Linked DNA regions of Struthio camelus. The protein of the gene in region 3 interacts with the protein of the main gene of each other region in a biochemical or structural test. Links are inferred from orthologs where the notes say so. Each region holds a gene or a part of one and is shown on either strand. Other genes may lie near its edges.

The links.
Region 1: of the proteins of CCND1 (region 3) and CRYAB, one has a biochemical effect on the other in vitro, tested with the Homo sapiens proteins (2 studies listed by BioGRID, with this or other methods). The link is inferred for Struthio camelus from reciprocal best matches to the Homo sapiens genes CCND1 and CRYAB.
Region 2: the proteins of CCND1 (region 3) and CDK6 form a complex in vitro, tested with the Homo sapiens proteins (3 studies listed by BioGRID and IntAct, with this or other methods). The link is inferred for Struthio camelus from reciprocal best matches to the Homo sapiens genes CCND1 and CDK6.

Annotation. Positions count from the first base shown.
Region 1 is NC_090963.1:2,723,161-2,732,320, reverse strand, and holds the start of CRYAB (alpha-crystallin B chain), read right to left. Parts: upstream 4,386-9,160; 5' UTR 4,164-4,385; coding exon 3,966-4,163; intron 1,347-3,965; coding exon 1,224-1,346; intron 78-1,223; coding exon 1-77. Other genes in the region: HSPB2 (heat shock protein beta-2), read left to right, coding at 6,090-6,183, 7,320-7,801. UniProt on the Homo sapiens protein: May contribute to the transparency and refractive index of the lens. Has chaperone-like activity, preventing aggregation of various proteins under a wide range of stress conditions.
Region 2 is NC_090943.1:27,482,366-27,492,075, reverse strand, and holds the start of CDK6 (cyclin-dependent kinase 6), read left to right. Parts: upstream 1-5,244; 5' UTR 5,245-5,604; intron 5,605-5,616; exon of another isoform or gene 5,617-5,731; intron 5,732-6,374; exon of another isoform or gene 6,375-6,527; intron 6,528-6,784; exon of another isoform or gene 6,785-6,939; intron 6,940-7,046; exon of another isoform or gene 7,047-7,232; intron 7,233-7,616; 5' UTR 7,617-7,875; coding exon 7,876-8,108; intron 8,109-9,710. UniProt on the Homo sapiens protein: Serine/threonine-protein kinase involved in the control of the cell cycle and differentiation; promotes G1/S transition. Phosphorylates pRB/RB1 and NPM1.
Region 3 is NC_090946.1:32,621,976-32,631,768, reverse strand, and holds the start of CCND1 (G1/S-specific cyclin-D1), read right to left. Parts: upstream 3,961-9,793; 5' UTR 3,841-3,960; exon of another isoform or gene 3,783-3,840; intron 3,614-3,782; exon of another isoform or gene 3,436-3,613; intron 3,219-3,435; exon of another isoform or gene 2,307-3,218; 5' UTR 2,211-2,306; coding exon 2,198-2,210; exon of another isoform or gene 1,328-2,197; intron 904-1,327; coding exon 509-903; intron 1-508. UniProt on the Homo sapiens protein: Regulatory component of the cyclin D1-CDK4 (DC) complex that phosphorylates and inhibits members of the retinoblastoma (RB) protein family including RB1 and regulates the cell-cycle during G(1)/S transition.

The DNA.
Region 1 (9,160 bases), on a different chromosome or scaffold from region 3:
GTTATGGTCAGGGGATCCACGTCAGCTGGAATCCTGTATTTCCGGTTGAACTCCCTGGCAATAAAGCCATGCTCATCCTTCAAAAGGAGAAGAGAAGGAACAGCCTTGATTAGAAGTGTTCACTCTGATCCAACTAAACCCCGAGCCCTTTGCCTGCAGTCTGAGTTCAGCAAGCTCCAGCCCTCAAAGGACGATATTTCTGAGAGTTTGAAGTGTTTCTGTCATGAGATGCCTTTATAAAGCACCAAGACTGGCTGAAGTCAGAGACTGCCCTGCCCTAGCTGCAGGTGCCTACAGGCACAGTGTTTGCACGGAGAGACCATGCTGCAGCTCTTGCGCCAGCCAGTCTGCCTTCGTCACGCAGTGGGGTGCTGCTGTTCCTAAGATGCTGGAGCTGTATCCGGTACCACCCACACCTATTCCCAAGGGTCTCCAGAGCTCTTGTAAAACACAGCTTCCCAGTGAGCTAATGTCTGCTAAAGTATTTGGTTATTTTCCTAGCCAGAAAACTTTGCAGAAGCAGTATCAGAATTAGAAGCTTCCCGCAGCTATGTCAGGCAATGCTGTATTTCCTGACTGAGAAATCTGTGCTCCCAGAAGCTCTTAGTGCTGACAGTCACACCGGCATAGCTGCTTTACCACCAGGATTTGTTTCTGCTGAGGCGGGGAGGAGGAACTGGAAAACCCTGTTTTGTACAACCTTGTACATGGCTTTTGACTTCTCTCTGCCCAGCTGGCACACAGGTCTCCAGGGCCAGCAGGCGGTAGGATGACTGGCAGCAGAACACAACCCTTAAAGATTACAAACCGGTAAATGGGCCTTTTTCAGGAAGAGATAACCTCCTGCTAATAGAACAGGGTAATGGACTATTCATTGTGTGGTTTAATTATTAGAGTTCATTGTTAACTTATTGAATGCCTCCCTGCATTCCTGGCCTCTTCCCAGCAAGATGGAGGCTCAGAAATGCACATTTCAAAGTTGATTTTCCAGTTCGGTTCACAGTTCATATATCACCGGCAATAAAACTCTACCCTGCTGCTGCCCAGTCTGGGATTAGTGGAGGGGTTACACAGAGCATCTTCCGTTAGGATCAGTTGATAAAAACCACTAGAAGCGTTTGCAGATGAGCACAGAACAGGACGGGTTTGCAGTCTCCTTGTTTAACCACAGATGAGGAAGTTCAGAACTGACTCTATCAGTCACATAGTAAGAGCAAAAGTACCTGGCGCTCCTCATGTTTCCCGTGAATATCTATCATGTCTCCTAACACCTTGACTTTCAGCTCCTCAGGAGAGAAATGCTTCACATCAAGGTTAACAGAAAACTTGTCCTTCTCCAGTCGCATCTGCAAAATAAGGAGATGACTTCAGAGAAGAGCAGGTGAGGGTTTCAGCCTTAAAAGGTGCTCAGAATATAACAGTTCAAGACTTAAGCGGGTACCTCCACATGCCCTCACCTAAAAAGCTGAGAAGAAACAGCACTGTCCGATCTCCCTCATCCAGCCCTGGGGTTCTGACCCAGCTGGGTTTGTCTCTTTCTAGCCTGTTACACTAGTGCCCATCACTAAAGTGTGATGCCTTTCTTTCTCTTGATTACACGGCGTAAGTGTTTTCCTGGGGGTGGCGAAGAGACTCTCTCAACTTGAATTTGCTAAAAGGGACTCATTAGTTGGCCTGCAGGTTTTGTATCTGGTTCTTTTTACAGAATGTCTGCAGATTTCCAGTCCCTGTAGCTGGATTTTGCAAGGTCTTTAAAGAAGCCTGACCGTGCAGCTAGCTGACTGCGGCTCATCTGTGCCACTTGCAGGCTTTCCCCTCTATTGTCACTCTCTAGTAACCAAAATAATGTGTCACCAGCAAACACTGCCACCTCACTACCTGCCTCTCTTATCTGAGCAGCAAGATTTCTGATGAAACTGAGTCACCTGCTGCTAATCTTGCCTCCTTCTCCTTCATTTTATGCTTTATCACCTCTAGCAAATGCTGCTTTTTCTGGTTCCTCTGGTGAGGTTGCTTCACCTTTGTTTCCCATCACCTACCTCCGTGGCTTGGACAAGCTCCTGGGACTTTGCTATGTGAGCTGGCTATCTCTGCCTTCCTATTGCATTCGTGGTGAGGGAGCACGCAAGCCTCCCGGAGCTCTGCTCTGGGACGTGGAGGTAGCCTCCCTGCCAGCTCTACGCTTGCTGGTTTCTGCTTCCTTCTCCTCCTTCAAACGTATTTGTGACAGAGATTTCTCCACTGAGGCAGTGGGATGCTGTTTTCTATGGTGCTTGATATGGCTGCTTCTGGGGACAGCCAGTCCCCGTTTGCCAAATCAAGTGAAACATTATGGAAAGATTAAGAAATACTTTCCTCTCGCTCCTTTGGCTTAGAATAGCTCTGCAAGTTACTTGTAAATAGACAGCTGACTTGCAGACCAGGCAAGGCCCTTCGAGCTGCATGCCCCTTGGCTCAGCCCCCGCAGCACTGCCACTTTGAGCCAGAAGAGCTACTGGTGGGGCCGTGGCGCCTATAAGACCACGCGAGTCCAGTCGTATACAAGCATCTCGCCATCCCCACGGCATCCAGGGCTGCTAGGGATGCACAGCAGCCCGTTGTCTCCCTGCCCCAGGGCCACTGCAGCAGAGCTCCTGGCCGCACAGGTTGTGTATTAGTCCCCCAGCTCCGCCGCTGCTACGAGAGCTGCTGCTCTTCCTGCGCTGCTCCTGGCCGCGGGACCTGCTGTGAGCCGAGCGAGGGCTGGAGAGGTTCCCGTAGTGGGGACCAGCTCTGCCCAGAGGGAGGGCAGCCCTGGGCTTCCCAGGCTCTGCCAGCCACAGCGGACACTTGTCGGTGAGGTGCTGGGGTCTGGTGTAGCCAGCGCAGGGCAAAGCAATGCGGGAACCACCGGAGAGCTGGGAGCTGCGCGCCTTCCGCTCAGAGGCGACACGATGTCTGGGGAAAAAGTGGTTTGGAGATCGGATTTTCCTGGCTCTTCTCTGCAAAAGGTGCTGGGGCTCCGAGGGTGAGGGCAGGAGGAGAGGCGGCCGGCGGCAGGCATGCCTGCCCCGTCGTGCGCTGGGTCTCCCACAGCAGGCCGGCAGCGCCAGGGCTCAGCCATCCGCCTTTTAGGAGGAAGGCCGTGCAGGTTGGTTCCCCCTGCGAGTTACAGACAGGCAGGATTCGCTCCTGACGTCCGCCCAGGATCTCTGGCCTGTGCTGACACCTAGATGCGGCCTCCTCAGCTCAGCACAGATGTGCCCGGTGGTGATGTATCCCAGCAGCTGCTTGGGGATGCAGCACCACTCCGGCCTCCGAGGGAGAGCCACTCCTCGCTAGGTTTTCCTCTAGCCTCCCCGGAGCACTCTGGCCAGGATAAAAGTCGTCTTCACCCCTGGGATCACTACGAACATGCATGCAGGTCCAGAAACGCGAAGCAGCTCTCACTGCATTGGCAGAACAAGGGAGTGTGGGAGACAGACAGGGCTGGAGGGCTATTTCGTGGTCAGTTGGGTCCTGTGTATTTCTCAAAATGCTGCTCTGCTCAGCAGTGACACTCCAAAACGGACCCCTTTTTACCCACGAACCCCAGCCTCCCGTACGAGGATCCCACCGCTCCGGGGCTCCCTTCCCTTCTCAGGAGGGAGTGGGTTTGAAAGTTTCGCAGAGCAGACAGGGAATTTAGGTTTCGTCCTTTCTCCCCTCAACTCTTACAGTCATTTGCAGCACAGACTCAGCTCAGCCTGCCTGTGCCCAAGGCTATGGCAATGCTTGCTCGCAGTCAGGAACGGTTAGCAGAGCAGGCAGAGGCCCTTGCCCGCTGCGGAGAAGCGGAGACACAAGCACAGCACCTTTTCCCCCAGGCTTTTCCTAATAACCGCCTGCCAGCAGCTTCCCAGCTCTCAGCCATCACGGTCCCCAGCTCCAGAGACATCAGGATGTGCAGGCAGCAATAGCACAGAGCAGTAAGAAGGGAAGGTTACCTCAGAGAGCCCAGTCTCTATCCAGCTGGGCATCCGAAAGATGGGAGATCGCATCAGGAAGGTGCTGAGGCCGGGGGAGGTAGGGAGCAGCTCCGACTCCTGCAGATGCTCCCCAAAAGTCTGGTCGAAGATGCGACTCGGCGCCAACAAAGACAGGAGGGGCCGGCGGATCAGGGGGTTGTGGATGGTGATATCCATTGGAGCGTGCGGGAGGAGCGGGGCCGGCGACTGCTGCAACGCTCGGCGGGGAGCCGGGGCAGCTTTATAGCCGTGCGGCTGGCCTGGCTCCCCCCGCCGAGCCCGCGCAAACGGTGATGTCAGGGATTTTATTGTCCCACTCCTGGGCCGGTCCCTTCAGCTGTGCCCAGTAGCTGTCTGGGGGATTTGAACACGCTGCTGAGGAGGAGGGGGAAGGCGAGAAGAAGAAAAGGAGTCTGACGGGGCAGCAAGAAGCCAAACTGCCCCGCCGCCCGCCCTGCTCCCCCACGTGCTGTTTATCTGCAGAGTCCCAAGCCGGCTTGGCTGATGCTCCCAGCTGCTTCGGATGCCAGCAGGATCAATGCAGCTCCTATCTTTGGCTCACACGGAAAATGAAAAGGGGCTGTTGTTTCTGCTGCCAGCCTCGGGGCTCTGGCTCCCGGCATCACCCACGGGTCTGGGGAGAGCTCTGCCTCTCCTCCAGGCAAAGGAAGCCAGGGCTGGTTTAATGAGGGGGAAATCAGTAAAGACCCCAGGAGATCTGGTTGCCCCCAGCAGAGTGGCTCTCTGCAGCCCGGCACGCACAGGCGACGTGAGCCCCGCCGCCTTAGTGCAGGCCCGCTGGTCTGGGCGCAAACGAAAGATGCCTTCCTCCACAGTGCATCAAACTGCTTTGCCCACTGCAGAAATGAGTTCGCTGGAGAGAGCAGAAGAGCCTAATACTCGGTGAGCTCAGCCCTGGCGGTGCAGGAAGGGCTGCTGCCCGGTGACGTGCCCTCTCACGGAGGCAAGCTGCATGCTTGCCTGCCCCTGTCTGCTTGTGCTCCTGCAGTAAGCTCATTTCCTATAATTAATACTCCTAATATGCCCTAACTTTTTTGCCCATTTGCCTTAATTCCTGCTCGTGAACATGGGACAAGGTTCAGCCCTGGGGCTGTCCTTACAAGTCAAGAGCTAGTCCGTGCCTCTGAGAGCTTGCAACTCAAATACAGGTTACTGGCTCAGCGGCACATCCTTCTTGCTGCTAGCACCACTGGTCCCTTGCGCAGGGCTCTGGCCCTCTTCCTTTCAACTTGCCTGCTGGACTGGGGAGCGGCTTTCTCTCTGCGCAACAGCCCGGGCCGTAAATGCCTCCTCCAGTTCCACATTACATCAACGGCAGAGCACCCGCTCTCTCCTGCTGCGGGGACGTGGACTCAGGGCGATCTCTGGTTTCAGGGTATAAGGAGCTTAGTGAGGACTATCCCTCCCAGTTCAGTAAAACTGGACCTATGCCAAATTCAGCTCCCCAGTTAACTGAGGGTCCCTGCCTTGGGCATTTCTCCAGGTCTCATCACACAATGCCGAAGCCCAGGACCAGGTGGACCGCCATCTCCAGCAGCACCGTCTGGGTTGTGGAGGTGCTGGTAGAGGGATCTGGATCCCGTCTAGGCCAGCTTAACCTGGGCTAGTTTAACCTGCAGGACCTTAGCGCTCGCAGGAACAAAAGGCTCGTGCCTCCACGCGGCTCCTGGGAAAACCAAGCTCCTCTGTAGGGCATAGGATGGGTAGGCAGCGGTGCCCAGCATCCAGCCGGCTCTCCCCCGCTCCACGGCCTCCCCCAGCTCGCCCCCTCGCCACCCGGCCCCGCTCGGCGGCCCGCTTGCCTCCGCACGCCCTGCTCAAGGAGCAGATCCCAGGGGAGGCGCAGGATTTTCGCCAGGCACCCCCGCCTGCGGCAGTGCCTGGACTCCCCGCAGGAATGCAGCAAGGAGCTTCCCTCGTCACCCTGGCGAGGCGTCTCTGGGCCTGTGTGCGCGGCTATTTTGGTCCGTCTTTTTATCACACACTCCTCCCTGTGGAATTCACCCCATTAAAGCCTTGCAATCTGCAGCCTTCACTCTCAGCGGCAGCGAGCGCTCGCAAGGTCCCCGTCCCGGAGGCACCATGGCTGCACGGACCGTCCCCCACGCCTACCCCATGAGTTCGGAGTACGAGTTTGCCAGCCCCAGCAAGATCTACGACCAGAACTTCGGGGAAGGTAAGGAGGAAGCCGGCGTCTTCCCGGCACCTTTCCGTCCTCCGAGGCAGGAGAGCCGGCAGAGTCCCTCTGGAGGGATTCACCTCCAGAGCGGGCCAGCGAGGCTGGAGCCAAGGGAGCTGCGGAGCGCAGGAACCCAGGTCAGATCAGGGGGCACATCTGGAGAGTGCCTCTGCCGGTTCGCTTCCCTCCATCCCTGCCTCGTTCCTCTCCTCCCCTCCCTCACACCCCCACCTTGCTGGCCTTCGTGCGCATGCTGTGCAAACACGGAGCGAAACGCCCTGCTGCAACCCTTCTACATGTCGGGCTGCCGTCCCCCGGCAGCCCCCGGGTGCCTCGTGCCCCACGCTAACCCCAGCAGAAGGCCGTACGGTCACAAGGCTGCGCAGGACCTGCCTCCATGCTCTCCTTCGCTAATAAGGGATGGCTGAGCGGAGACCCCCCACCTGCCCACCTCCCTGCCCCAGCTGCTGTGAGCAGCCGCCGGGCAGAGCTCCTGAGCAGAAGGGCCACTGCCACAGTGCCAGGGGCAGGGATGAAAATTAGGCCCTTTTGGAAAGTGCTAGTGCAGGGAGGGGTTTTTGCAGCCGGGGGCAGTGGAGAAAAGCTGAGCTGGGGTGTTGAGCACAAAGCCCGGCAGCGGCTGGCAGCGGGGAAGGAATGTGGGCAGCAGCAGAACCATTCAGCACCCGCACAACAGCGTGAAAAGGCAAAAAGCCCCAAGAAAAGCCCCCCAGACAATGGCACACAAAAGGGCTTTAGTTCCTCGGCCCAATTTCTTCACCGTCAGCGTTTTCCGTGCCCAGCCCTGCGCCTGGCTCCGCAGAGCACCCAGCGCACCTACCAGTCCCTCCCTGCCCGGCCGGCAAACACCCGAGAGCTGGCCACCAGCCCTTGGCTGCCTGGCGGGAGGTGGTGGCCGGCCGGCGGCTGGCCCCAAGCATGTGCTTTGGAGACACAAAGGCAGGAACAGCTGGAGATTCGCTCCCTTTTGTGCAGCTGGTGCAGCTGCAAAACCAAGGAACCTGTTTGCCACATCCCAGCCTCCTCCTGTCCCCATCACATCTGCTGCCAACCATCCTCCTCCCACTCCTTCCCCTGGGAACCCCATGCTCCTCACTGGGTCTCACTTTCAGGTGTGTCCCCATGTGAGATTTTAGCTCCTGCCCTGTATCATGGCTACTACATCAGGCCTCGGATCAACAAGCAGCTGGATCGAGGCACCTCCGAGATCAGCCTCAACGACCACAAATTCCAGGTGTTCCTGGATGTCTGTCACTTCTTGCCGGATGAGCTCACTGTCCGCACCGTGGACAACCTGCTGGAGGTGATGGGGCAGCACCCGCAAAAGTCTGACCGTCACGGCTTCATCTCCCGAGAGTTCACCAGGACCTACATCCTCCCGCTGGATGTCGACCCCTTGCTGGTGAGAGCCACCTTGTCCCATGACGGCATCTTAAGTATTGTGGCTCCTCGGACCGGGAAGGAGGTGAAGGCCAGAGTCAACGAGGTGAAGATAACCCACCAGAAGCAGCCGGAGGGCAAGGAAGAACAGCCCAAGGAGGAACAGCCCAAGGAGGAACAGTCCAAGGAAGAGAAAGAGAAAGAAGAATCCTAAAAGTCCCAGAGCTGGGCTGGAGCAGGGGGTGGGGGGGATGTCTCAGTGCCAGACCCCTATTTCTCACCACCAGTGCTTAGCAGAGGCGTGAGACCGGAGAGGTGCCCGTGCCAGACTCCTGCTTCTGAAGGCTGCTGGTTGGAAAAAGGGGCTTGGAATTGAAAAAAGAGGGGAACTGAAATGTTAGTGTGGGGAACTGTCATGTAAGTTTTCTCCTAGGTCAAGTGCCCGCTGAGCACCGTGCAGGGTGGTGCTCTTTGCCCATCCCAGATCGCAAGGGTCACTCTTAGGCGAGACAGCCAGGCTGCATCGCTGCAGACTGAAACAGCTGCTGTGCTCCAGCCTGGAAGGAGCTGCTCTTCCAGGGTGCCGGGAAGAGGGAAGGGGTGCTCCCGGCACCTCACTCCCGGGCCGGCCGCCGACCGCTGCGGACAGTGCTGGAGATGGAAGGTGCGTGCCTCTCTGCAGAAGTGCCCACAGCTCTCAGGACGAAAGAGGAATAAATCTGACTCTGACCTTCTCTTCTTTGCCTCAGATTCATATTGCTTCTGGCCAAGTCACTGTGCAGTGGAGAGCATGGATGGCGCCTGAGCTGCTCCTGAGGCGCTGAGCGGAGCAGCGGGCAGCTCCCGCTGCGCGTGGCTGTCGAAATGGCACCAAGGGGGACTTGGAGGGCAGCCCAAGGGAGCCCTGCCATCGTCCCTGCCCGCTCCAGCACAGCCAGGGTCATTCACCCCTGCAGGGAGCCTGCGGCAGGCAGGAACCTCTGGGAGGAAAGGCTGAGGGCGACGGGCTCTTGGAGGCTCACTGTGCGTGTGCCGGCACCTGGCTGGCGCCCCGGCGCTCTCCGGGGAGTCGCAGAGCGGGTGAACGTGGCCCCCTTTGCAGGCGCCGTGATGCTCAGGGCGCATGAGGAACGTCTCCCCGGTCTTGCGCTACCCGGCCAGGGATGGCGTGCGCGACCGATGGCTGCAGCTGCCGCCCCGGCTGGCCCCGAGGCTCAGCCGGTGCCTGTCTCGATCCCCGTCAGTGCCAATCAAAGCAGCTAAAACGCTGTGTCACTGACCAAATATGGGGGGCCCTGGCACGCCGCAGCGCAGCCCTCCCATGGGGGAGAGAGCAGGCTCCCAGGCCGCGGCGGGGGCTCGGGGAGCATCGCTCTCGGCCCGCTGGGAGCTGCTCTGCTGGCCCTGAGCGCTGCCCCCGTGAAGAAACAGGGCCAGAAACGCCCCACGCAGGAGCCTGCCCCATGCAGCCTGCCTCCTGGCTTGCTCAAGCACCGGTATAAGGCTGCTCTTTCGCTCTCGCCAGGCAAGGCAGCACCCAGACCAGAGCGAACCGCTGTGCAGCTATTTTCTG
Region 2 (9,710 bases), on a different chromosome or scaffold from region 3:
TCCGGCAGCGTCCCCAGCTGCCGGTCCAGTGGCCGAAAATGTGCCGCTGGCACCGGGCTGCTTCCGGAGCCCCGCGCTTCAGCTAGATCGTAGGAGCAGGGGTCCAGGCATCGGGATTTTTTTTTTCTCTGCGTTTTTTTTCACTGCTCGGCAGCGTGCTCTCCAGCACGTCTTGGCGCTTCTCGAGGCTTGGTTTCCCGGGCTCAGCCCTGGAGAGGCTGCAAGCCCTCTGGTGCGAAGGCTGCCTCGGGTGGAACGCCGGCTCGCTGCGCGGGGCGAGAGGGAGCCGTGCAAACACCGGCCAACGAGCTGCTTTCTGGAAAGAACGTCTGCGTTTTGCCCTTGATTTTCCCCTTGCGTAAGAAACCCAAAAGGCAACTTTCTAAAGAAAGCCGATGAAGCTGTGTGGCTCTCAGCTGAAGAACTGGACGAGAAAGTGCGCCCGGTGGCTGCAGCCAGGTGCGCTGGGTGGAACACGCAGCCCGCGCAGGGGCGAAGGCGCTCGCCCTGCTCGCAGGCTTGCTCTGCACATGGCGTGCTTCTTGGCCGCTCCTGCGACTAGCAATTACTAACGCATACACAAACAAATACGGGGAAGTGCGTGTGTGTGCTTAAACCCCTAACATTATGTTATGGTTCTTTGTACGAAGAAACAATAGCCCCACAGTATAGTTTATTGCTATAATAACGGAAAGATACAATTTGTAAAACATAAAATTATCCACTCTAAACAAAGGCTCTGATTGAAAGAAAAATAAACTAAACAATCACACTGTAATTGGCTTAGATACCTTAATCACTGCCAATTATACAGTGGTTGCATACATTTTACATGGATTTAGGCAATATTTTCTCTCACTGGAATTAGTTAAAACATTATGTGACTCTTAATAAATTATTTTTCTGTAAATATGGCTTAGATTTCTTTGTGTTCTGATTCAACTGTTTAAGAAGGTACGTGATTAAACTAACTTAACACTTCATATTGGAATTAATTGTTAATGCTGAAATGTATTAAAAACACATTTCTTATTGTACCTATGCTTCATCAAAAGCAGCTGCAAAATATTTAGTATATATTTATAATGCATTTGCACACATATTTAACACAGCTAGTGATAGATGAAAATAATTATTTCCCAGGTTCAGTATGAGATGTGATATCTGAACCGTGTTCTTAGGGATAATTGCCTAAGAAATATTACTGCTAACTGTTTTGTTTATAAAACCACTTTCTGTTTGCTAAAGGGACTTTCTAAAAAGCTACATTTATGCTACGATATTCAAACAAATTCTAGCTACTGCAGGTTCTAAATATTCATGTTCTTAATTGAGCTCTGTCACTTCTGCAAGAACAATAGTTATTCTCTCATCTCTGTAGGTGTTTTCTTGAGGATAAACGCCTAGCAAAATCGGTTAAAAATCCTATCCACTAAAACTGAAGATGCAAGTTAATAAACAAAACCTGACAGTACGAATAGCACCATAATCAAAGTGATTTTGTTTCCAAAAACTTTTCTGAAAATACTTAGCTTGAAGAGCAAGTTTCACACTGTTTTGTCTAACTCTTCTTGTAAGATCAAACCGAGGAATCCCCAGCAGAAGCTTAGCTGTTCCTGAAACGCAGATAAAATGCACAAAGCAAAACAATACAGTGCGTCTCATCCTTTTTGAAAGTCTTAGTCTATTCATAACACTTCTTGGTATTGCCCACTACCAGCTCATTTTAATCAATTGCTGTACACTCATTCTGATAATTGCTTGTTAGCCATTTCACGCCACTGGCTTATTCATTATTTCCAGCAAAACATGACAGACCTCATTTTATGAATATGATTATTATGCATCATAGAATATGAATTTAATCTTAGTTTCAGTGTGGTTTAATTTCAAGTTTTATTTCATTCAGATGACACATTAGACTTTTCCTGTTTCAAATGTAGTTCATTATAAGTTGTTTTTCTTTTTCAGTGTTATTTTAAAAAAAACTAGAATTAAAAAATGCTAGGATCGAAAAAAGATTGAAAAACATAATTTCACAAAGCAGAAGAAAAACAGGAAAGGTGCTGATGTAGAAAGAGATTCCTTTTCTTCCTCTTTAGATGTGCGTTCCTAAAGTTTTGTTTTTCCAGTACAATAAATATTTCTTATAAATTATTTAGAAATAGCAACAGATGTTATTCTGACTTCATTTCATAACAGTAGTTATTGAACTTATTAAAACATTATTTTCTCAGATTAGATGTAAATTTCTAAAAATGAATGAAGGTATTTTCAGTAATAAAGGAAATACAGGATATAATAATTTCTGTATAGAAAAACTTCCATTCTTGATAGAAAATAACATGTATGTTCACCTACTCTAACTCAGAAATGTTAAATGTAGAGTGTTACTTTTTTGAAAACAAAACATCAAACATTTGTAAAAGATTGTTACAAAAAGAAAATGAATCTCTATTTAAAATATATTGTTTTGATGATATATACCGTTTTTAAAATGTATGTTATTTGAAACATCCTGACTTTCCACTTTAAAACAAAGGTAAAAGATTTTACATTTTCAAAAAATCCATCCAGTCTAGGTAAGTAATTTCATCCTCTACAACAAATTACTGGCAATACAATCCCTATTATTAGATTGTTTATATGAAATTGTGTTTTTAAATTTCTTCCTGAAATCACATAACTTTTAGATAAAGAAAACTTCATTTTAGAGGTTTGTATGGCTTCTTTGAACTCTGTACTTTGTGACACCTAGTAGTTAAATTGCCTGATCTTACTCATGGAGAGAAGGGAAAAAAGAGCCTCATCACTCTGAAAAATTCCCTGAAAAATTCTTAGTATCACATAAAGCCACATTAACCACGCGGCACTTTTGTGTTTTACACTCACTCAGTTTGATAGAATGAGCATTATAATCTCTCACGGCTTCACTCACTACTATTGACTGCACCTCACAGAAACGCAGATAAAACATTTCTAACTGACAGAACCATTACATATATTCCCCCGAAAAATATTTGGAAAGCATGAGATAAAAGGACGAGCTTATGAGGCACAGTGTTTATTAACAGAATGGTAACATTCGAATGCAAGGGTAAATTTCAGGGGATTGCCGAATTCTCTCTTCCATGTCCATCCTGAACATTAACTTGTATATTAACTTGTCCAAAAAACCCAGTGCACCTTCAGTCACTTTTCACAAACAGAGATCGAGTAGAGTCTGGCTGGAATTTAAAGATACCAGAGATCTTCAAGGGGAGACGGGTACCAAGGCTGTTGCTTGTCCTTCCTCAAAAGGGAACCTGAGGATGATTTGCTGGACTGAGCTTGTTACAGCTCCATAAATATTAGAAAGAAGAAGAAGGAAAAAAAGTCAAGCATGATACATTTAAGAAAGCTATAAATATTACAAGATAAGGAAACAGAGCAAGGTAATCTATGTACCTACGAATCTTGTAATGTGATATGACTTTTCGCATCTTTTAAAAGAAGGTTTGATCTCTGTGTTTCAGGCTTTGTTACTTTCATATTTAAAGGTTTGGAGGGTTGCCATTAATGTCAGCATTTTTATTTTTGATAAATCATATACTTTAGCAAGTTGTTGAGGAATTTCTGTGATTTTAAATAAAATATATTACATGCAGAAACTAAGCTCTTGCAATGTATGCATGGTCTTCAGCAAACATTCACACAACAGTGGCCTTTTCCTTGAAGGGGTCGCTGGCACCAGCTCCCTGTTTTCTCCAGGGGAGATCAGAGGTCTCTCTGCTCTGCTCTCAGCCAGTTCCCCCCGACCTCCGGGTGCTACTTCTAAACCTCTGCAAAAAAGGTAGGGCACATGGCATTGCTGGTGTCAGTTTTGAAGCCAGGACAACAAATTTTGTGTGATTTCATGTCAGCCGGGTAGAGCTGTGAATTCCCACAGAGGAAATACTGTACGTGCTTCTTTCTGACTTGAATTCTTCTAGCTGTATCTATTGTCTGTGTCGTTCTGAGCCATACAGCATCTGAGGCGAAGTCTTCAGCATATACCTTCTGAGCTATAAACCCTGGGAGTTACGCTACGTTTCCCACTGTCAGAGGGGACGGGTGTCTCCTCCCTCCCAGCTAAAGCACGGGCAGACTGGCTGGGGTGGCTCCTCTGCCACTACCGCTGGAGCCACCCCGAGGGCCAGGAAAGCATGTGCTGGAAGGTAGTGGCTGGGCAGGAGGGGAATTAGGCTCTCCAGATGTGGGTGCAGATCTGTTGGCATCTGTTACGTGATTTTTTTTTCTGTGGTGAATTGCACTGTTTGTCGGAATTGGCTCTGTACAACACGTTCTGCACGTCGGGGGAGCCGCTTGCAGCGCGCCCCCCCTCCTGCCGGGACGCAGCCCCCGGCCCCGGCCCTCTCTAGCTGCAAGCCCTTCGGGGCAAAGACTTTGCATGGGGTTTTTTTGTCTTCAGCAAAGAAGTTTCTTGCTGCTTCCCGAAAGCATTCACGGGTGCTTACTTCCTGCCAGGGCTCTGTGCTCTCTCTGAATGAAAAGCAGCAAAAGCCAGAAGAATCGGCGTTTATCAGGAAAAAGAAAAATATATTTATTTCCCAGGGGGGAAAAAAAAGGGGGGGTGGGGTGGGGGGGAAGAAGAGGTTATTTATTTCCCAGCGCCTCGCACACCGACCCAGCGCGCTAGGAGCGAGCCCGGCTCCTGGGCGCTGCCGCGGCGGGCGGAGCACGCGGCCGTGCAGCGCCGAGCACGGCGGGCCGGGCCGGGCCGGGCCGGGCCGGGCCGGGGCCCCGCGCCCCCCCGCGCCCCCCCGCGCCCCCCGGCGCGCCTCGGCCCGGGCCGTGCCTGGCCGCTGCGCTCGCGGCGACCCTTGCGGTATGCGGCTGCCTTTGGCAGAGGCACATGAAGGATTTCATTGAGTGTGAAGACAGAGAGCAGAGACAGAAAGCAGAAGGAGGCGGCTGCAGCCTTTGTAGTCGGGGAGGAATGCGGAAATGTTGAAGCACTATGTCAAACTTTTTTGAAACGGGGTCAAGTCACATTCAGCCAGCGTGGGAAAGCAAGGGAGGAAAAAAAAAAAAAAGTTGAGGAGAGGGAAAAAAAAAAAAAAAGGCAAGCTGCTGCTACTCCCAGACTGAACAGAGGCCGAGAGAGCGAGCGAGGCAGAGAGCGAGCGGAGCCGGCGGAGCGCCGAGCCGAGCCGAGCCGAGCCGAGCCGAGCCGAGCCGAGCCGAGCCGAGCGGCCGCGCCGAGGGCCGGTGCCCGACCCGCGGCGGCAGGCGGCGGCCGGCGGGCTGCGGGCGCGGCGGAGCCGCTCGCACGGGGCTCCCGGCCGCCCTTTTTATTCCGTTTTTTTTTCTTTTCTTTTTCTTTTTCTTTTTTTTTTCCTCTCCCCGGGCAGGGTGGGGGCGGGAGGAGCGGGCTGGAGTACGAGCGGCAGCTGCCTGCTGCGGGAAGGTGCAGCCGGCGGCGGCGGGAGGATGCGAGCCGAGGGCGGCCGAGCCGCGGAGCAGCTACCTGTGTGGCCCGGGCGGCCGCTGCCGCGACCTGCCGGAGAAATCGCCATGTGAAGGGGCCCGGCCGGCTCCACACCCCGCCTCGCTCAATGGGAGGTTTGTTTTAGGGAGGACTCACCCCCTCCCCCCCCACACCCCTCAACCCCCCCCACCCCCACCCCGCCCGGGGCTGAAAATTATTTGGAGATTTGGTGGCGGTGGAGGCAGCCGCGGCGCGCAGCAGGTAATGCGGGAGCGCCCATGTGCTCCGCGCACCCCCCCGCCCCCGCGGCCCACACACCGCCCGCCGCCGGGCCGGGGGCGCAGGCGGCGGCCCCCCGCGGGTGGCCGCTGCCCCGCGGCGCCGCTGCCGTGGGGGCGTCCCACGCCCCGCGCGTCGGCGGCCGCGGGGCGAGGAGCGGGGGGGGGGGAGAAGGGGCGGCTCTGCCCTCCCGCGGAGCCCTCGGGGGGTCCCTCCGCGTCCGACCCGCCGCGCCCGCAGGGGAAGCGTGGGGGCACCGCGGGTCCCAGCGCGCTTCCTCGCTGTGCCCCCCGCCGCGCCCCGGCGGAGAGCTGGGCGTGGGGGCACCGCGGGGGCGGCCGCAGCCCCCCCCCCCCCCGCCGCCGCCGCCGCCCTGCGCGCGGTAACTTTCCACAGGGCGCCGCGGCCGCGCCGGGCCCGGCTCGCCGCCCCCGCGGCCACGCACACGCGCGGCGCCGCTCCCGCCGCCGGGGGGCGCCCCCCGGCCCGGCCCGGCTCGGCTCGGCTCGGCTCGGCCCGGCGCCGCCCGCCACGCGCCCCCGCGGCGGCGGTGCGCGGAGCGGCGGCGGCGGCGGCGGCGGGCAGGTCGCGGGCAGGTGGCGGCGGCGGCGGGCCGGGGCGGCGGGGCGCGCACGTCGGCGGCGCGGCCGGAGGGCGCTGAGGCGAGGCGGCGCCTCGCTGCAGCTGGAGGTGCCGCTGGGGAAAACGGCCGCGCGGCGGGCACGGGAGCTTTCCTTCACGTTGCGCCTCTTCTTTGCATCGTCGGCTACGGCGTAAGGTCAGCGCACACTTTAAATTGCTGCTGGCTCTGTGCGTGGGCTCCCGCCTAGGGGATCGCCAGTGCAGTACCTGCGGGGCTGTTATCCTAGCGTGGTAAAAATACAGCGCCGGAGCGGCTCGCAGGCGCAGTAGCAGTATACGAAAAGGGGAGGGGGAGGATCGGTGTGGAGTTATGGGGGGGGAGAGGGTTTGCCCGCGATTCTGCGGAAAGCGGGGATGAAACTGGGTGCAGGAGCGACCTGTTTTGATCTCCAGTCTCACGCACTGCACGGCGGACCACGCTGATCCTGCAGACTGGCTTTCATCCTGTGCCCCATCACACAGCGTCCGGCAAGGGGCTGCCAGTCACACATCCAGGGATAGCCGTCGCCATGGCCAAAACTCTTGCATGATCTTAACTTTGCTAAAGTGTGCGTTTCGCAAAATACCTCAGCACCAAATACTCAGTAAAACATTATTATTATTATATGTTATATGTATATATATATATATGTGTGTGTGTGTTTACTCCCCACAGGCTCTTTGAGGCAGAAGCTTGTCTCGTGCAGTGTGTTCGTGCAGTGTCTAGCACATTGGAGAGTAGATCAAGGCTGAGACTTCCAAGTGCTATAAATAAGTAACTGTAATATAGTGTGGAATATGTTTCAAGGACTCCATCATGCAACACTGAAGAAACCTTTGAGTCCTGCAGTCCTGACATAAGGTCCTGGACATAACTTCCTACCACACACGCAGAGTTAGCTCTGTCATCCACGTCTCAGTGGATATTAGGCCCATTGCTCAGTAAAGTCCCGAGGAGTGCGGGTGTGTGTTGTGCAGACCATGGTAGCTACGTAGTGTTGTATCAAGCATGCCAAGATGTTGATATCTTGTCACCCTCGTGGTTCATGTCCTGCTCTTCCTTTGCCCCATTTTTGCTTTGCAGTTAGCTATCTTCTATATTGGCTTAATTTTCTCAGTTTTAAACCATGCAAAGTAGTGAGGTAAACTGAAAGCACGAGTTGCATGTGCCGCAGCAGGGGGAGGAAGGCCGGAGGGGAGAGAACCCCAGGCCTAACTCACTTTTCTTGCTTGCTTTGTGCTTCAGATCTCCTTGGCTTTGCGCAGACGATGCTCCCCAAGACTGCATGATAGTTCCTGGTGGCTGAGGCAGGAGGCACGTCGGGGCCTGTACAGAGGAAGGACGGGAGCCGGAGGGCAAGGACTTCCTACTGCTCCTCGAGCAGAGGTACCAACCGTGCGGCGTATCTGCGACGTGAGCAAAATACTAGTTTTCGGAAAGCGGGCGAGGGCGGGAGCCGCGCCTGAGGCACTCCAGGCGCAGGAGGAAGAGGAGCGGCGCCAGCATGGATAAGGACAGCACAAACCTGGCTGACCAGCAGTACGAATGTGTGGCTGAGATCGGTGAGGGAGCCTACGGGAAGGTGTTCAAGGCCCGAGACTTGAAGAACGGCGGCCGCTTTGTGGCGTTGAAGCGGGTGCGGGTGCAGACGAGCGAGGAGGGGATGCCGCTGTCCACCATCCGAGAGGTGGCGGTGCTGAGGCACCTGGAGACCTTTGAGCATCCCAACGTGGTCAGGTGAGGAACCGGGGCGAGCGCCCTGGTCAGCAGGGCCCTAGCTGTGGTACGTGCGTGAGAGTCTGGGTACCTGCGTGGAGCAGCCAGCAGGCTGGGCTCGTGGATGAAGCGAGCGGTAACCTGGAGCGCGGTCTGAGGTTTCAGCAGGCGGCGGTGCTGCCTGCCGGGCCTCCCCTCGTCCGTGCGCGCTGCCTCCCCCGCGCGCAAACACCCGTCTCCAGAGGCGTAGGTGTGTGACTGAAGCATGGGAGTGCACGGGCAAGGAGCCATGTGTGCGCTGTCTCCGCGGGCGTAACAGAACGAAAGAAAGCGGCAGCTCTCCCGGTCTCAGGTGCTAGTGCTGCCGGCCGCAGGTGACTCTCAGCAGCTCTCTTCGGGACCAGGACGGCAATGTTTGCCACAGTGCTGATGGCGAGGGCATGCCACCTTTTCAGATGATTTTATAGACGCATGTAGCTTGTCATGGTACACACAAGGGATAGGTTAAGAATTTATGCTTTGGGGAAGGTTTTACAGCTCAGTGCTGCTTCACTGTTACTGATTTCACCGAGTGCTCATGGCTGGGCTACCAAAAGCGAAGAAGAACAAAATGCAGGCCTTGCTTTCAAAATGGTGCCACTGGCACCAGGGGTAAACCCTGAGTAAATGACCCATCAGCGGCAGCACTGGCCCTGACGTAAGCTTGTACGTTTCCATGTAACTAGAAAAGTCGAGCATGTAGTCGCTGGCTGAGTGAAACGGTTTACTGGACTTTTCAGGTTGTGATGAAGGAAGCACAAAATATGGAGGGAGTTTCTTCTAAGGCTTTTTTTTCCTGGAACACGGTACGGAGGCATTTCCTACTGTATGATTTATCTGCTGCTGGCTTTGTGCTTCAGATTTACTGCATGGTCACACCTTAGATTGACCAAAAGTTTTAGAAGATGATTTTGGTGTAGATTTCACTCACAACCTCTAGCAGCCTGTGAGAGTCTTTCTGAATGCTATGAACTTTAACAAATAAGCTTCACTTTGCCGATTGCCAGGTACACAGTGGTTTGAAGCTGGTCTGCATCTAGCGGGTGATGCAGTATTAAGAAGAATACTTCCTGTTATTTATATTATTGTATGCACGCCTTTTATAGCAAAAGGAAAATATTTCATTCTTTACTAATACCAAGCCTCTTTCAGGCCTAGAGAAACAGAGATATTCTGATGCCAGAGGTGATTTTCAAACTGGCTTGTAGCTGTGATCCTCATGTGTGTTTAAGGTCTGAGATGAGGGTTTTTATAAGAGCCACAAGAGGAAAGGCAAGACAGGAAATATTTAAAATGCAAAAGTGAATAGCTAGAGATAAATTCATTTTCTTTTATTTCAGTGCAGTAATTAGTAGAACACTTTTATGTTTTCCAAAACTGAATAAACAAAAAGTGTATATTCTGAAGTATGGAATGAGTTGGTAGAAAGTCATAGGTCTCTGCAGTGAGCAATAGGATGCAGACTGCAGCTCACGCTTTTCCACTGCTAATGAAACAAATCTACTGTTTGATTAATAACCATTATTTTGACTGGCACCTAGCAGTGCCAAAGGCTTAGTCAATAAATTTCAAAAGTGGGCATCT
Region 3 (9,793 bases):
CCCATGGCCCCGGACTGGGGAGCCGGGGGCTCCAGCGATGTGGCCGTTCCCAGCCAAGGCGCCCAGGCAGGGAGGCTGAAAGGGGGACATTTTCCAAACGAGGTTTCTCCACGCTCCCCTTGCACTAGCACCGCGTTGGTCCGAAAGCCGGAAAAGGTGCCAGGGCACCCCCAGACCCTGCGCTTCGGGAGCGGTGCGTGTCTGTGTGTGTGCGTGTGTCTGTGTGTCTGTGTGTGTGTGCGTGCGCGGGGGTGGGGGGGTGCCCTGAGCCTTCCCTCTAGAGCAGCAGCTCGTTACAGCAGAAATAAGAGAGTAATAATTACAGTAATAATGATAAAATCGACCCCAATCCCGACGTTACACGCGGGAGCCGCCGAAGCCAGAGCAACGTGTGCCGTGCGGGGGAAGTTATTTCGGGAGGGGGGGGCCGCGAGCGGCAGCAGAGGGGGGAGCAGCCCGCAGCCTGAATTCAGTTCAGTTTGCAAAGAAATCGCCGAAACATACAAACCTCCAACATCCAAGTGGCAACCATTTTCCTCATATAGGGCAAGATTTCTTTCTGCACGCACTTGAAGTAGGAGACGGAGGGCGAGCAGGTCTCCTCGGCCTTGAGCATGGTCTGCAGCACCCTGTCATTGAGGAGGTTGGCATCCAGGTAGGCCCGCCGGATGGTCTCCACCTCGCAGCACAGCAGCTGGTGCTCCATGGCTGCCTCCGGGGCTCCGGGCAGCTCGCGCAAGGACTGCGGCAGGCGGGCGGGCGGGCGGGCGCTCGCTCGCTCTCTCTCTTCCCCTTCCAGGAGTCCCTTGGATGCTGCTGCTGCTACTGCCGCTACAGCCCTCTGGAGGCTGCAAAACTTTCTAACTTCCAACAAAACTCTCCTGTATAGTCGCTGTGACGTTACTGTTGTTAAGCAGAGATCAAAGCACGAGAGAGAATGAGAAAGAGAGAGAGAGAGCCAAAAGCAAGGGGCAGAGCCCTAAAGCCATCCCATAGGCTTCAAGTCCTTCCCCTTTGCTTAGCTTATAGAGAGCAGGGTTTTAATGCAAATGCAAATGAGACAAGGGCTTGCTTTCTTCAAGGGCAAGGGAGAGGTGGGGGAAACCCAAATTGTCTCTTCAGTGTATCATGCATAATTTTTAAAATGGAGAGAGTTCTGCAGTGGGAGCCAAATGATGAATGGGGCTAGGCCACACACAGACACACATGGATAAAAATACAAGGAGACTTAGTTGGTATTATTTTACTGGGGGCGCCAGGGAGGGGGGGCAGAGAAGTACCAGTGTGCCACTATTAATTACCAGTTATTATTACTACCGATGTGTACCTGGAATATCTGCTGTTTAAAACAGCGCGCTCCTGACCTGAAGTCCCAGAGTCTTTGTAGTTAATCCCATGGGAGAAGCTTTTTCCCATTTCCTCATTCCTGTTTTTCCCAGCCTGCGTGTTTTTGCTGCACATGAGAATTTTAAAGAAATTAGGGTCCCCCCCCCACCACCACCACCACCAAGATGGTGTTTTTTCTTCCTCTCTTTATGTCTTTCCTTTCACTTTTAAGTATTTACCCTCCAAAAGCGGCTCAGCGGTGGCAGGGGACATGGTGATAGCTAATTCCAAGGGCGGAAAGCAGCAGTTAACCCTCGGCAGGCCAAAACTCAGCACCCCACCCCCACTGCACACAGCCACCCAGAAAAAATATCTCAGCAGAGCTGCAAAATGGTGGCCGGAGTTTCCTCCTGCACAGCTAGCACCTACACGGGGGAGGTGCCAGCAGCCACCAGAGCTGCCAGGGCCTCACTGCACGCGCTGTGCCGCGAGGACGGTCTGTCCACGCGTGACGCGCAACCGCTCGGCCCCACCGTAAATAACTCCTGCTCCCCCAGCTCAACTGAACCGCTTGTATGTGAAAATGTTTTGGTGTTTTGCTCTGTTTCTAATAAAAAGTCTCCATTCAACTCCCCGCTTTCTAACAGGCTGACGGGAGCTTGGGGCCTGCTGGAAAATAGCAGAGGTGAAGGCAACCCACGGCTCCAAGGGCGAAACAGCTTGTCTTGGACCGAAGTGGATGGGACAGGGAGAAGTGAGAACGCCATAAACTAGGGTTCAGCTCCTCTTCTGCTCACCTGAGTGCTCAAATTAACTCCAACCTCAGTGTTTACCACCACGTTAGCGCAGCATTAACAGCACTAGTACCTACCCCTTAACAGCATTTAGGGAAGCATCGCCAGCAGGTTTCAAAGCACTGGAGGGGGCTCGCGGCCGTAACCGACACGCTACAAAGCCATACAGCATCTCTCCTGTATGACCTATGGGGAAAGCAGTGCCAAAGATCACAGGGCATGTTGTTGCACAGTTGCGTGCTTACGTAACCCCTTTGCATGAAATATCTGTCCATCTTTCCAGTTTGCTTGACCACTTGTCCCTATTTTGTCTTCCTCTGTTAGGAGGATATGGCAGAGGCCCCAGGATCTCAGTTCCCCTTGCGCACTGCAGTCTGTGGGGTGAATCTGGATGGTTTCTCAGCAAGGAAGCAGTCCCCTAAGCGTGTCCCCGTGCTTGTCTATCATGCTGCACACGCAGGGAGCTCACTTCTGTTTTCATGACTTAGGCTGGCTGGGGAAGTTTTGATTTTTACTAAAAAAACACACAATGACCCCGCACTGCCAGATCCGGTTGAATTCAGCCAGCCAACGATGGGCAACTCGGGCATCACATTTAATTAACTTCCGTGCCCGCCAGCACCTTCCTAGGGGGCAGTTGGTGTGCGGCCTGCCTGGCATTTTACAGGCCAAGCGCTTTGTGGAGCGAGGCACGGCCCGAACCCCTTCCCTCCCCCAGGAGCCAGTGTCATGTCTGCACTTTTGTCTCCAAACATTTGTTTCTGGTCACTTTGCTCAAAGCCCTTCAGCCCAGGCCCAGGATCACCCGCCTCCGGCGCCCTCGCCCTGCCGCCGCCTCTGCGGCTTGGGTGGGTTTTTCCACCTCCCCCCCCCATTTTTTCTCCTTTCTCCACGAGGCCGGCAACGTGGGGGCTTCCGTTCGTGAAACGCCGCGGAGGGGCTGGGGGTGGCCGGGCGAGAGGTGCCGGTGGCGGCGGCGCTGGCCCCGATCCCGGGGGAGCCCCCGGCGCTGCGCGGGCGGCGCGGCCGCAGGAAGCGCCCATTAGCATGAGCCAATGGGGGAGGAGATCTGTTACCAGGCGGATCAGGCAGATCTCGGCGAGCGGCGCGGCCGATCCCTCCCGGCCACACAAAGGGGACTGGTCAAAAGTGCAAGGGCGCCGCAACACGCGCGCCCCGCCGAGGTCCTCCCCCCGGCCCCCCGCCCGCCTTTGCGGAGCCGGCCCGGGCACCGGCACCGCCGCCCCGGGGCTCCGGCCAGGCCCCGTAACGGCCGGCGCCTTCCCCTCCCTCCGGCTCAGCCGCTTCCCCTCACACGCGGCCTCGAATCTGCTCCGCTTGGCGGCTCCCCGGAAACGGCCCCGTAACGGTTCTAACGGCCGCGGGGCGGGGGGGGGGGGGCAGAGAGGGGGAGGAGGCGCGGCCCTCGGCCTCGCGGCGAGGCGTGCTTAACGGGCGGGCCGCGGCGGCCCGAGGCTCCGCTGCGCCCCGCCGCCGGCCCCGCTTCCGACGGCGCTTCCTGCCCGCCTCCCCCGGCACTTTCTCATGATGTCACCCCGCCCGCCGCGGGGCGGGGGCGGCCGAGCCCCGCCGCCGCCCGCCGTTGGGGCCGTGCCGCCGCCGCCGCCGCCCGCCGCCGGCGCGAGCCCGCCCCGCCCCGCCGGGGCGGCGCGGGCGGGGCCGGCGCGCCGCCGCCGCCGCCACCGCCGCCGCCGCCTACCGTAAGCTCCCGAAGAGGCGCGCCGCCGGCCGCGCGCCTCAAACCGGCCCGAGCGAGCGCCGGGGCGGCGCGGCCGGGCCCGCCCGGGCCGGGGGGGGAGCAGCGGTGCCTGCTGCGGCGGGAGGCACTGAAGTGCCGCGGCCCCGCCGCCCCTGCGCCGTGTGTCTGCGGGGGCGCCAGGGGCCGCGCGCACGGGTGGGCGCCGGAGGCCGGCAGCGAGCTGCGGTCCCGGCGCTGACAGAGGCCCGTTGGGCAGATCGTTGCCCCGAGGCCGGGGGCGGCGGGGGAGGAAGGGTCGGGGCTGGGCCCGGGGCCGGGCTGGGCAGCCGGTGCTGGGAGTTAGGCCGAGTTTAGCCTGACCACGGAGGTAAGCGGAGAAAAGGGACGAAGGTGAAATTAATGAGGGGAAGGAAGAGGAGCGGGAAGAGGGCTGTTCTTTTCTCGTTATGGTTTTGCCATGCCAAAAATGGAAGGACCGGCCGGAAGGACGGGCAAGAAAGGGAGCCTGGGTGACGGCGTCGAAGTGAATAAGACAAACGTATTTACACACTAAAATTCTCAGAGCAAAGACGCTGTAGTGGAAATCCTTTTCTTCCATCACCATTGAGTTAAAGAAGAGCCGCTACAGTTCTTGCTTCTCTTTTGCAGTGAACTTTTTACCGAAAGTCCTCAGCTGACAGTGCACTTTGACAACCTAACAGCATGGAAGCGACCAGCGCACGTGTCGGTGTCCGAGGCGGGTTGGTGAGCTGTGAAAACACGGGTTAGCCAGGCAGAGCGTGGAAACCCAGTTTACAAATCAGGAGAAAAACATTTTCTCTCTTCCCCAAATTGACAGCTCCTCTTTGTAATATTGCAAGGCAGTTTAAAGGCGTATTATAAATCCCATCAGAATTTTGTTGTGGAACTGGGTAGCGATAGTAATTTTTGAAGCACGGTATTAGTATTTTTCACCCCTCTTTTCACTGGTACTGTAAAACAAGAAGTAGAGGAGGGTATTTTGGCATGATTATAGGTTCAGTGCTGCTCCCACGGAGGTGAATAGCAGTTTGGTCGCTGTAACAGTGTAGACTGCTAACGTAATGATGTGTTGGGAGGGGAACAAATATTCTTCTGGTGTGACAGCTAGGCTGCATTACTCGTTAGTGGCGAGGCCCTAATCAAATTTTGCAGGCTACCTTATATAATTCCTGATAAGTGCCAATAAATCAGCATGGAGTATGTATCACATACACCGCAGAAAAGTTATTTTAGGAATGTCTTAAGTACCTTCTTCTTACGTTTGTCTCCCTCTGCCAGAAATGCCACATTGATGCATTAGTAATTGTGAGCCAGAGTATCAGATAGGATAAATTGGTAGAATAGCTCCATCAAGACAGATTTGCCTCCTGTTTAAATGTGTTAAATGTGTTGGCTCCAGAGAAAATTAGCTGCAGAGATCAACAGATGTCTATATGCGCTTTTCTATGTAGAATGAAGACATGATGATAAAAGATTCTCCTTGGGCTCTCTGGTGTAAAAACACATGAGACGTGCAATGTTTTTTCTCACCAACTCTACCAGCCATTCTCCAGTTCTTCCAGAGCTGAGAACTTAGCCCAACCAGCCACATGCCATATTTCTTTGCTTCAGTCTGCTGCCCTATCTGCTCTTTCCAGACCTGCCTGGAAATGGTAAATCTGCTTGTGGCATCTTTGCAACACGCTCTTTGAGTAAAACCAGTGCAAATAATCTCTTCAGGGCCAGATTTCGTGGACCGCTGAACACTTCCTAACTCCAGCTGAAGTCAGTGGCAGTGCTAAGGGTCAGTTCTGGAGATCAGGCCTGCAGCTTCCTGTAATCTTCTCACCTTCTTTAATTCCTTCACAGCCTGCGGCAGGTTACCAGTCCTCTGGTGAGGTTCTGGTTCCTTGTGCTTTTAACCTTGGCAGGGAAGGAGAGATATCCTTTCAAAATCCAAGTCCTACATCTGACATCTGACTTGTAGTAATTTTTGAAGCACGGTATTAGTATTTTTCACCCCTCTTTTCACTGGCACTGTAAAACAAGAAGTAGAGGAGGGTCCTACAAGTCCTACAAGTCCAACAAGTCCTACATCCTACATGTCCTAAATCTGACATCCATTTAATATTTTCCATATTCTCTTTTCTTTCCTGTTGACTTCGGGAAAAGCGTAGTCCCATTTTTGGGACGCTCACCTGTCTAGTTTCAGAGCCTCTTGAATACTTGTGTTAAAAGTGGTTGAATGCCTGCAGTCAGAAGAAGAACTTATCTCTCACTACATAACATCTCTTGCCATGTAGTGTTCTCTACCAGAGGCTGCCATAAAGTGAGGATGAGAAAAGAAAGAAAGCTACTTCACTTAGAAGTGGCGGACTGGATAACATGAATGACTGAGGACTTGACTTAAGGTATTTCACTGAGAGAGATGCAGTTCCATAACACTAAGAATGCTGGAAAGTCTCTTTAGCTTCTGGTATCCTGTATCTGGTATCCTAACTTTCCAAACCCTTTCTAAGGAGACAGCCACAATGCACCCCGCAAGAGTGACATCCTTGCTGTTTGCTGCAGTGAGACCCTGGAAGCTCAGGATGGTTATAGTCACCTGCAGGATGTTTGTATCCCTTGGATCCCTCAGCCTCAAACATCCTACTCGTCGTCGTAAAGTGGATTGGCACTTCTCTGAAGGACAAGTTTGCATTCTTTGAACCTGTAGTAAAAATCATTTGGCTCAGAATCAAGTCTAAAACACTAGATTATAATTTTGACCTGAAGCATAGATGACAAAATGATAAATTTGCAAAACTCAGGCATTTTTCAGAGCACATGAATTCAATGGGAGTATTACCATCAACATCAAAGGGAGCAGGATTGAACCTGTAATGTATAGCACTAATGACTACAATCAAATAAACTTATATTGCCTGGGATTCCTACTACCTTTTGCCTTTTGTGTGTGCACTTTTATGCGTGTGCCAAATGAGTGCAGAGTGGCTCTAGAATGCTACCATTTTGAATCTGTGGCAGTTAGAGTAAATGGGCAAAAATATAAATAATAATAGAGGGTGACGAGCCTTGGGGAATCTAGTCTACTTGCTTCCCTAACTCGGTAAAGGAAGTGAAGAACCGAATACCTTGAAAGATGAGATTATAGTCTTGGTGTAGACTTCAGAAATATTTACATTTAATTTGATCTGCTTGTGCTAACTGTTATTTTTTTTACTTGCTTGTGGTGCAACTCAATTTGATTAAAAATTAGTATGGAATAGCATATATCTTTGGAAATGCATAAACCTTTAGTTATATCTTTGTGTAGCATTCATATTTATAATTTATTTTTGCTGTGTTTGGACTACTGCACCATATTAGCAGGTAATTGCTTTGTTCCCTATGGTTAGTTCTTACCTTACTGATTCTCCATGGTGCTACAGCTAGTGACAGAAGGGAATGTAAGGTATGATAATAGCCTCCTATTTAACTCCATTGAATTTCTTTTGTTGGCTAATTTTCATTTGTGTTTACATCATTACTAAATTGCTCAGTTTTACAACCTTAAACTGTGGATATTTGTTCATGGGGGGAAAAAAGAGGAATCATCTTTCTGCACGTGTATTACATTTCAGTGGGATTAAAGTAAAAGCTCGAAATAAAATATGAATGTCAATTTTCATTAACAGCTGCATCAGAGATGTTTTGTTTCCAAAGTATGAAATGTTGTACGGCCTTAACATTAACTTAGCCTAGGAAGAACGTAAGCGTTTGTACAAGTGTCGCAGCATTGGTGTCCCCTTTAAAAGAACAATCAAAATCAAAAATAGGATGTCTCTCCATTCTAAATTCCCTTTATAATTGTTTGATTCCCAGCTCATGACTTAAGTGGCTTTGTGTAAGTCAGTGCTTCATCTGTCACCACCTGCTGTCATTCAGAAAACTGTCAGGTTCAGTCAGCTTGTCTAAAACATCCATCTACTTGACCACGGCAGGGAGGTCTTTTTCATAAAGCTAAAAAAATTCAGAGGATACTGACATGGGATTCCTTAGTCCTCACTGCATCAGGCTAGGAAGTATGGCTAGATTCAGTGAAGTTACATGAGACTATCTGGCAGTGATTCTCAACTGGAAAACAGTATAGTACCCGAATCTGACCTGAGGGAAAACTGAGATAAACCCTTAATATTTATGTCCAACCCAAAATACACACAGAATCTCTGCCAGGCTCAAGCTTGTGTCCAGTGCATGTGTATCATGGTATGAGTGCTAATTGCAACATGTCTTGAAAAGGGCAGGAAGTTTCCTAGGGAATATTCTGATGGGAAGGGGAGGATCTGGAAAAGGGGAAGGGCACATATTTACTTGAAACACGTGATAAAGCCATGCCCCCACCTTATCTCTCCTCTCTAAAATCTATGTAGAGTTTGAGCGTATTTTGACCAAAACCAAAGTATTTCTTCAAATCCCAGATTCAGCTTCGCATTCAGGCTGGGGCTGGAGCTGCTTACAGAAGCTGAACCCCAACAAAAAGTTAGTGTAAAAACAAGAGAACTTGCTCAAGAAGTACACAGAGTATTTTTTCCTGTTTCTGGAGCAATCCAGGGATGTAACGTAATGATTTTCACTGGAGACAAGGCTAGATTGCAAATGATTTAGAAGCTAATTCAGGAACAGACTTAAACTGATGCTTAAATTTAAATATGTAAGTACACTGGAATTACTCATATGCTTAACAGATAAACATATGTTTAAATACATTGCTGAACTGAAGCCTAAGGGCACAGTTTGAAATTAAACCTAAACTAATCTAGACACTAGCTGTTGCTGAAGTAATTAGTCGTCTTTTGGTTTACATCCTTGAAATGGCTCACTGTGGAGTCAAAAAAAATGTAGCTGGTACCCCTTGAGACTAACTGCTACGTCTGCAACAACTCCGTAAAGTATTCATCTTCTCATAAAAATGCAATAGAAAGTCTCTGTTGATAGTAAAAATCAATGAAGATATACCAAAGTCAATTTCTGTACTAAACACGAAATGCCTTTTCGATTTCACAGGCTACAAACTGTTAGAGAAGGAATTAAGGGGAACAGTTTTTATGCTAACTAGAATGCATTTCTTTCTTTTGCTTATGGGCTACTTCATCCTCATACCAATAACAAAGAGTAAGGGCACAGAAAAATTGAATATGTCACCAGAATCCAGCTGGCAAGCAAGCAAAAAGAAATGGGGTATTTTGAGGTGCTTGTCCTTAAAGGTAGGAGGCAGAGCATGTAGGTACTCCAGCATCCCTGGTGAACACCCAGCCTCGCTGAAACCAGCTACAGCGAGAGTAGGGTGTTGCCACTCCTGTTCAGTCCTCTGTGAAGTTCCTGATACATCAGGAAGACTGCTGAAAAAGGCATGGTCTTCTAGCAAACCGTCTGATATTGTTCTAGAATAAAAAACATAGAGATTAAAGGTTGTTCAGAGGACCTGACAAGAAGACAGGTGACCCCTTCAGAAGGTTAAGGGCTTCTTGGAGATGCACCAGCTCCCTGGAGGTCACAGGGCTCAGGCAGAAGGTGCTTGTAGCACCATCTGCGTTTCTGAGAGCGGTGCCAGCAAGCCTTGGCCTCTCAGTGCAAACGTTTAGAGCCAACAGAGGTCTGAGGAACCCAGGTATCTTTCTTGTGAGCTTTGTGTGGAAGGAGAAAGACTGGGGCCTGTGTGTTTATATCATGTTCATTTGTGCTACAACTAAGCGCTTGGCTGGCTGTCTATGATGGCTTTGTGATAATACTGTGTGCAAAGATGTATCATATTTTTAATCAAATGTTTCCATTAGTTTTAATATTTTGTACCCATCAGATTACAATCACTCAGCAAAAATCTAGCCTCCGACATGCAGTCTCATTTATCCAAGTTCTACCATGTGCTCAGCTCTGCTTTGCTGACTTTGGTTCTGACTGTACAGTTCTGTAG